Kluyveromyces lactis: one gene and its partner. The protein of the gene in region 1 interacts with the protein of each later gene in a biochemical or structural test. Links are inferred from orthologs where the notes say so. Each region holds a gene or a part of one and is shown on either strand. Other genes may lie near its edges.

What was found. The genes of interacting proteins can lie anywhere in the genome.
Region 2: the proteins of KIP2 (region 1) and BIK1 form a complex in vitro, tested with the Saccharomyces cerevisiae proteins (2 studies listed by BioGRID). The link is inferred for Kluyveromyces lactis from reciprocal best matches to the Saccharomyces cerevisiae genes KIP2 and BIK1.

What each region holds. Positions count from the first base shown.
Region 1 is NC_006040.1:508,004-512,556, reverse strand, and holds KIP2 (Kip2p), read right to left. Parts: upstream 2,845-4,553; coding exon 838-2,844; downstream 1-837. Other genes in the region: PEP4 (proteinase A), read right to left, coding at 3,773-4,553. UniProt on the Saccharomyces cerevisiae protein: Required for assembly of the mitotic spindle.
Region 2 is NC_006039.1:110,876-114,720, forward strand, and holds BIK1 (Bik1p), read right to left. Parts: upstream 1,891-3,845; coding exon 670-1,890; downstream 1-669. Other genes in the region: HIS4 (trifunctional histidinol dehydrogenase/phosphoribosyl-AMP cyclohydrolase/phosphoribosyl-ATP diphosphatase), read right to left, coding at 1-308; KLLA0_C01496g (uncharacterized protein), read right to left, coding at 2,658-3,845. UniProt on the Saccharomyces cerevisiae protein: Required for nuclear fusion, chromosome disjunction, and nuclear segregation during mitosis. Probably required for the formation or stabilization of microtubules during mitosis and for spindle pole body fusion during conjugation.

The sequences.
Region 1 (4,553 bases):
ACCTAACCACATGCAACAAGAGAAAGGTTGGGATACCTTTATAAATGTAACTATATAGACATACCTACATATATATATATGTGTGTGTTTATAAATGTGATTATGCTTTCCTTTGGTACTTTCTTCAGAAAAACTTGGTTACCCCAACTTTATTTCTCGAAGCCTTGTTTTGTAAAGCGAGAGAAGTTATGAAAAAAGTCACAGAAAGGTTCGCACAGAACTAACGTATCTAGTTTCATTCCTCGATTTATTGGTGGTTCCTTTTGGAAAATCAAAGGAAAATCGAAATAATACACCAAATTGCTGATAAAAAACACTAAAACATGCGCAGGACACAGCCCGAATAATATCCCCGACTGTTATTGGGGATCAGGCAAGAGTCGGAAATCCCAATTGAGGTACAGGGAGTAAGGAATAAGACATGTTCCACGAGAAAATCACGTAAATCAAAAAGCGTAAAAATGAAAAAATTAGGGAAGTTTCGCAGTCCGGACTGGGAGACCTCGAGGGAAGATAAAATGGGAGAAAGGAAGATTACAAAAACAGAAGCAGGTGTGTTTCTGTGTCTATGTGTTACTTATTAACCGTTGCTTACTGATTCTGTAGGTTCGTATTTTTTGTCTTTAGAAGATGTTGTTACTCATAAGTTCTTTCCTATCTAGTTTTGTTGCCGGGTGAAATTGGATATAAAATTTCTTTTTGATTTTCCTCAGTGCTAGTTTTTCTAAGAGCGTGTTTTTGAGACCCTCGAAGCGTTGCAAGGTGCATACATTCGAGCTTCAGCAGAATGCTCGACCTTCTTTGATGTGAAATCGGGTGTTTCTGCTGTTAGACACCCTATAGAACTGATTTCGGAAATACATCTGATGCAATGGAGTACTTCGGTACGGGTTTTAGGTAATCACTGCCAGTACCGCTGCTGTCGCTGGTAGTTGTGATACTTGTACCGCTTCCAATCGTAATTGGTCTTTCTTGTCTGTTCAAATCGCTGGCATTCGGCGATATCGGTTTGAGAACGTTAGCAGCAGTTGCGGTTCCAATCTCAATGTCGGAGTCAGTAGCAGACACAGCTTCTCCCGTGTACTCTGCAAGTTGTTGTCTTAGTCTCTTCGCGCTCTTCAACGCTTCTATCATTTTATCCTTCCTTTCAAGAGATTGATGCAACTGCATCAATTCTTGCTCTTGTTCATGTAACACTTGTGTCAAATCGATATCTGATACATTGGACAGCAACTCTGCAGTGGCTGCAGTGGCAGAAGCATCTCGAGTCCTTGCACTCTCTAGCTGTGATATATACCTCTTCGACTCTTGTAATTGAGAGTCCATGTTGACCAATTTTGTCTCTAACATCACACCAATATCCTGTGGGAGCATGTCAATGATTTCCACTAATTCGGTATCTTTCAAGATACTAGGTTCTAACGTTTCCAGTCTTTCATAATGTTCTACCTTCATCTTTAGAAGCTCGTTCTCCCTTAGTAGTGATGTATCTGAACTTATTCCGGATCCAATGAAACCTTTCCCCCTGGTCAAATTGTCGATGGTTATTTGCTGTTCTCGTACTTGTTTCCGCAATGTTTGGATTAATTGGCTCTTGCTTACGTTGCTGTCGGCTTCGTTACGCTTTACAGCCAAACTGATGTTTTTTGCCCTGCTGGCGAACCGTATCGTATTGATAGATTCCGTACTTGTCTCGGGCCTTGTATCCACAGTACATATGGTAGCGACTAACGAGTCCCCGCTTAGTGCAGGTTGTAATATTCTTGTTAACTTGGAATCTCTGTATGGAATATGGCCTACATTTGTAGAAAGGCCCGAACTTTCCATACTCAATTTAGATATCACTGTTCCAAGAGCTAATAACGATTTGTTGATGTAAGCTCCCTCTTTCCTTCTTTCTTGTTGCCCCGTAGCTCTTTCGGACCCAGCTAAATCACACAGAGATAATGTACTCATCACTTGCTCGCCAGTTATTTCATCGGTGCAGAATACACGGATAAGGACCACAGCGTGAGATCTAGAGGATCTTGTATTAAAATCAGTCTCTCCAGTCTTACGGTTATGATCTCCAATCGATATGCACTTCATTAACTCTTTATTACTGCTAACATTTCTCTCAACTAAACCAACAACTTTAACCCCGTATTTCAAGTCATCTCGAAGCTTAAGATCATTAGTCAATGTCGAACTGGGCACCATAATATTGCTATTTAAAGTTTTGCCCTGTGGTAAATTCAATAGATCAAATATTCTCTCGTTGTAAATTTCCAAATAGGATACTCTGACAGTAAACTTTTTGCGAGGTAATCCCACATTGATACGATCGAAAATAGTGTCAACGCACATGGGTATTATACCAGGACCTGATTTGGATCCACTCATGGTATATGTCTTACCTGAACCAGTCATACCATAAGCGAAAATTGTACAATTAAATCCCTCGAATAATTTATCTATCATAGGCAATGCCATAGTCTCATATACTCGATCGTTATTCATCTCCGGACTGAAAACATGGTCGAAGTTAAATTCCCCAAACTCTTCATGAATAATGGAGTTGTTATTTACGTGCCAAGAATCTTGTTTTCCATGAGTAGGCTTGATTCTTACCCCTACCGAAATGGTACCCTGGTATGAACTTCTCCCGCCACGAATTGGAGAAGCGGCCTTCGTAGAAGAACTTCTTGCTGGTGAAGAACATTGACTCGAAGATGACGAGGAAGTTGATCTTGGCCTTACTGTTGATGAAGTTCTTAGATTTGGTGTGCTGGGAGGTCTCATCAATCTTTTGGGTGAATTGTACGATGATGTATGGAGTGGAAGTGCCACTGGTTTGGTAATCATGATCGATTGGCTATCTCAAGGGTGTGTTACTCTGCTATATTTTCGTTGCAATGCAAATCCTTGCGTAATCCAATATTGTGTCCTAATATGATTGTTTAATCACAAATAATAACAGTACGAAAATTTTGAGTATGAAGCTGATCCAGTGAAGATAATGTGAAGCAAGGCCATATATATTATGCAGGGACAGATGTATGGGCAAATAGATAAATGTCAGACTACTGTTAATGATTAGTGTTTGACCTTGTGTCTCATCTTACTATCATTTTTTTTAGATATCGAAATATGTCTATTATGTTGACAAATTACCTATTTGAGTTATAATTGAGAACTATCTTCATCAAGGAGAGTTGGCAATTCACACACATCTCGACACCAACGTTAACAAAATCAAGAACGGATCAAGAGGCGCCTGACAGATCAGAGAAGTTGAGAGTGGCATGTGCTCCAAATAAAATGAAAAAATATATATGAATTTTTTGGTAGGCCTATTCTACTATAGAAATATTCACTACTTTTAACAGACCTTGTGAAAGTAACATAAAAAAAAATGTAACTAAAATCGATACTTGAATTTTGGGAGAGAAATGAAAAAGAGATTCTGATAAAGGCAATTTATCGACATTTTATGAATCATTTATAGGTAGCCAAAGCCAAAGCCAATTGAATAATGTCCATCGTCTATATATTTAGAGGAAGGAACACAATTGTTTTATGATGAAATAGGAAAGAATTCTTTTAGGTATTTTAAGGTTTATTTGTCACCAAGTGTTGTTATACTTTGTTAGCTAATTCGATTTGTGAAACTGACATTCAATTAATATAGCAGTAAGTTAACCGTCTTATTTAATTATTTTTTTAGAGTTGTCGAGTTAATAGAAGCTGAACTCCAATTCAAAAGGTTACAATTCGATCGCTTTTTTAACAATTAGGCAGCCTTGGCCAAACCAACTGCATCATGACCAATATCATAAATGGAGTAGTATTTACGTAGGAAGGCATCACCAATAATGGCCAAGGGACCAACTGGTTCTGGGAAGTCCATTGGAGTGAATGCAGAGATACAAGACCCAGAGACTTCCAAAGTGTAATCGTATGCGGTAATAGTGAAGTTGTAACCGTTGAAATTCAAAGTTAAGTCTGGTAGACTATCTCTAGATTCACAATCAACGGAGTATTGACCAGACCAGCCCTTCTTTGCACCGATTTCAGCGTTCAAAATTTCAGCCAAACCGCTTGGCAAAGCAATCAAAGAGGTACCGGTGTCGATAGCAGCACCATGACCTTCTAAAGTAGCATATTCTTCACCCAAACCGATACCTTCAAACTTGACTTCCCAGTAAGCCTTACGACGAACAGGCAACCAAGTGATTTCACCGGTGTACTTCTCCTCATCGATACCACCGAAGGAAGCTTCACCGCCATCTTCAGACTTGTCAGAATCACCCAAGTAAAAGGCAAACACTGGGTCATCCAAAAGTTTGTTTTTGATAGCGTTGTACACTGGTGGAACGATTCTGTTAACAGAGATGGAGTCGTAAGCCAACCCCAAAATACCATCGAATTTACCAAAGGCAAATGCCAAACCTGGTTCGCTGGTAGCTTCAGCGAAATCCTGGTCAGGTATCACTAAATCCCCAATGGTCAACAAATCACGAGACACATATCCTTCAAGGGAACCAGAACCATATTGGATAGCAAACTCGGAA
Region 2 (3,845 bases), on another chromosome or scaffold:
GCACCATCTTTTAATAAGGTCAATCTGATGCTTGGTACCCCAATTTCAACTAAATGAGCAGCATAATCATCAGAATCAATAAACAAGGTTACAACGCCATTATTCAATAGAACAATCAGATCATCATCCTCAAATTTTGCGTCTTTCAATAGAACAGAAATATTTTGACCATGACTATTCTGAACAAATTCCAAAATATCATCTTTAGTCATATCCTTCCCATCAAGTACTAATTGACTGGATAAGTAAAGGTAAGTCTTTTCTTTCAACGCATTGACAGCATTGAACACAGGTACAACAGGCAACATTTCTGGTGCTTTATGACTTCTTGTCTTAGGTGGACAGTCCTGAATGTAACGAAATTTGATAAAGCATGACGACTAACTTATTTTTTTTTCATATTTCATATTTTCATTTTTATATACCAGGAGGCTTGATTTTTGCAGTGGATTGTGAAAATATGATTGAACGCATATGCACTGAATTACATGAGTCATATGATGAAAAAAACACAGGAAAGCCAATGAAAACTCGAAGAAGAAGTCCGGATGCGATTGATGGACTGTAGGTAATTCATTATAAGATGATTCATTATATGATGATGCGCTAAGTATGCTATATATATGATGCAAGTACAACAATGGATATTAAAAGGGACGAATTTTGACTCTAAAAGAATTTGTCGTCGTATGGGCAATCTACTGATTCATGACCGTCTTTTTCGCAAAGAGCACACCACAACGAGCGCCCTGCAGCTGCATTCACTAAAGTTGACTTTACTTCGGCACCTGGATTGTATAACGGCAAGGTTTCAATGTTACTGTCCACAATAAGTGTATTTTCTTCCTGTTTTTTGGATAATTCTTCGACTCGGGATTCGAGCTCCCCAATTTTTTTCCTTGCATCGTCTAATTCCTTGTTGAGAGTATACTCTTTTGTCTCTGTATCATGGGATTTCTGTTGATACTCTGTCATCTCAGTAGTCAAATTTTTATATTCTTTTGATAACGACTGGTTACGGAATTGCAGTTGCTCCTTCTCTTTCTCCCATTGGACCCTATGCAATTCAGCTTGAGTCTTGTGTTGCTGTAGTTCTAGTATCTGTTCCCTTAAATCGTTAATTAAAAGGGCATCACTGTTCGGTTCATCTTGCATAACATAATCATTTTCAAGGGAATTTTTCTTTTCCTTCTGCATAATCTCGGCTAATATGGCAGCATTCCGGTTTATCTCAGATTGGAGCTCGTCTATCACAGTCAAAAGCTGATCATGTTCACTTTCATAAAACTGCTTTTGGCGCTGATGGGACGTTCTTTCATGGTCGAGTTGGTTTTGAAGTAGAACTTTCTCCTTTTCTGTGGTATCCAACTTAGTCTCATATTCATCAATTGCAGCTTGGATCTCCTCGAATACAATTCGTTGATCCTCTACTAGTCTTTTGTATTGAACTAGCTCTGTTTGTAACATTTTTAAGTCCGAGGAAGTAGTTTGCATCGGATCGTCATTCGGTTGAATGACATTTGAAATACTAGTTCGCGACTTGATTTCAGGAAAACTGTTTTGAAGAGGTTCATGATACCCTAAAAAATTTGCGTTAATCCTTACGGGAGTAGGTGATGCAGGTGGTATGGTCATATTTGCCTCAGGGTTAGAAGGTATTGGGATCAAGTTGGCGATCTTTTCCCATTGGATAAAAAGTCCACTTTGAGGGAAAGAAGTCTCAAAATACCGTCTGCCTCTGAAAGTTCCATCGTTTTTTCCATTGCCAGCAAACAAATTGATACCAACAAATGTTCCTTTCTTTGTTTCTACTGAGCCAATGTACCGTATTTGCCCTCTACCTATGTTAGGAACTTCAATTACCAGTCCTATACAGTCTTGATTATCCATCACTAGAAATAGACCGTTGGGATGTGAAACGAAGGTGTTTTGGGCATACGTTTTAAAAATTTACCAAACCAAAGAAAAATCAGGAAAGGCTGAGAAAATACTGGTAATTAAGGTATTTGGAAACGTTACCTCAGGTCTGTTACTATCGTATCTCCATAGATTAAGGATTTTAGTTTTTTGCCTATTGACTGTAAATATTGTTATTATGACAAAAGGTAAATAGAACAGAAAACTCCTTCACGTGAATCTTGACTTCCAAACAAGAAATGAAAAAGCAAGGCGAACTTCATGCGATGATATTCTGCTGAACAGCAATAGAACTAGCCGCTTCTGGTTCCTAAAGTAGTTATTCGTAATTGTATTCATAAATGATGTTCACTATTTAACTTTCCGGACGTTAGCTACAATACAGTAATTATATCATTAAAGAAAATTGGTAAACTGGTAAAACTAGAACAAGGTAAAAGGTAATAAAGAAGTGATTAGTGATGGCTTTTTTGTTAGGTTTCATTAGGGTGTTTCTTTTGAACACTGGTATATTCTAAGTGCCTCCAGGGCCATGAGTAAATCCAGAAGGATGGTTGCAATGAGTACGATAGAATAGCTGTTTTTTCTTACTTGGTGCAAAGACCAATGTGAAAACATACATTCAACGAAGAAGGTTGGAGCTGTTGGGTTTATTCAATTCTATCGAGGTGTGTTTAATATGGCCATCATAAAAAGAGCTATCGATCAGATCTTGTTATCCAAGTTTTGGACAGGGTTTCCTAATTGCTCTCCAATAACGGCTTGACGTTTTGCTTATACAACACATAAGCGTCATTGCCACCAACAACCTTAACATTACCGGCTGGAGAGTATTCACAGATCAAGTAGACGGATCCGGAAGAACATTTTGTTACAGAACATCCGACGTCAGTACTAGCAGCCCAAACCAATTGAGTGAAGTGACCAACATCATGACCGTTATGAGAGATACCAGTGACATTGTTGTAGTCATAGTAGTTGATTTCATCGTACCACAAGCCAACTAAGGCAGCTGGATCGGAGTTAGTACCAGCAGCCAAGTTTTCACCATACGGACCACCAGAGTGTTGTAGCTTATAGTTACATGGATCGTTGTCGCTACCGAACAATGTTTGAGTGTAATCGTAAGCATATGCGGCTAATTCCTCATTCCAAACTAATGGATTGGTGGATTGGTGTCTAGCTCTGTATTCATTATGGGCGTTCAAAACACTCTCGCGATCGGCATCAGAAATAGCCTCGGCGGTTGTGGTAGCTGCAGAATCTGCTGTTGTGCTGGCCAAAGTAGAAGTAGGAGTTGTCGAAGAGGTTGATGACTCTGTAGATGATGGGGTAGAAGCAACTTCAGAAGAGGTGGACGAAGTAGATGACTCTGTAGCGGATGAGACCACAGTTTCTTCAGAAGAGATGGAAGAAGTAGATGACTCTGTAGATGATGGGGTAGAAGTATATTCAGAAGAGGTGGACGAAGTAGATGACTCTGTAGCGGATGAGACCAAGGTTTCTTCAGAAGAGATAGAAGAAGTAGATGACTCTGTGGAGGATGGAGTAGAAGTAACTTCAGAAGAAGAAGAGGTAGACGATTGTATGGAAGATGGAGCGGAATTACCCTCTGAAGTACCATCAGAAGAGGTGGATAGGATAGATGATTCACTTGAAAGAGCACCGGACGAGGTAGAAGTTTCTCCAATAGACGTTAAATCGACTTCTGAGGTAGGAACTATACTTGAAGTTACCTCAGATCCGAAATCAGAAGTTGGAATAGAGTCGGTTAGAGTTGTGTTACCATAGTATGGCGAGCTTATCGAGCTTGATGTCTCCAATTCTGATGTTTCTGAACTTGATGGAACAGTATCCGTTGAAGTCGAGTCTGATGAAGCTGTGCTTGAAGGAACTGAAGTAACACTGCCGGTTACTGTATCTCTGGA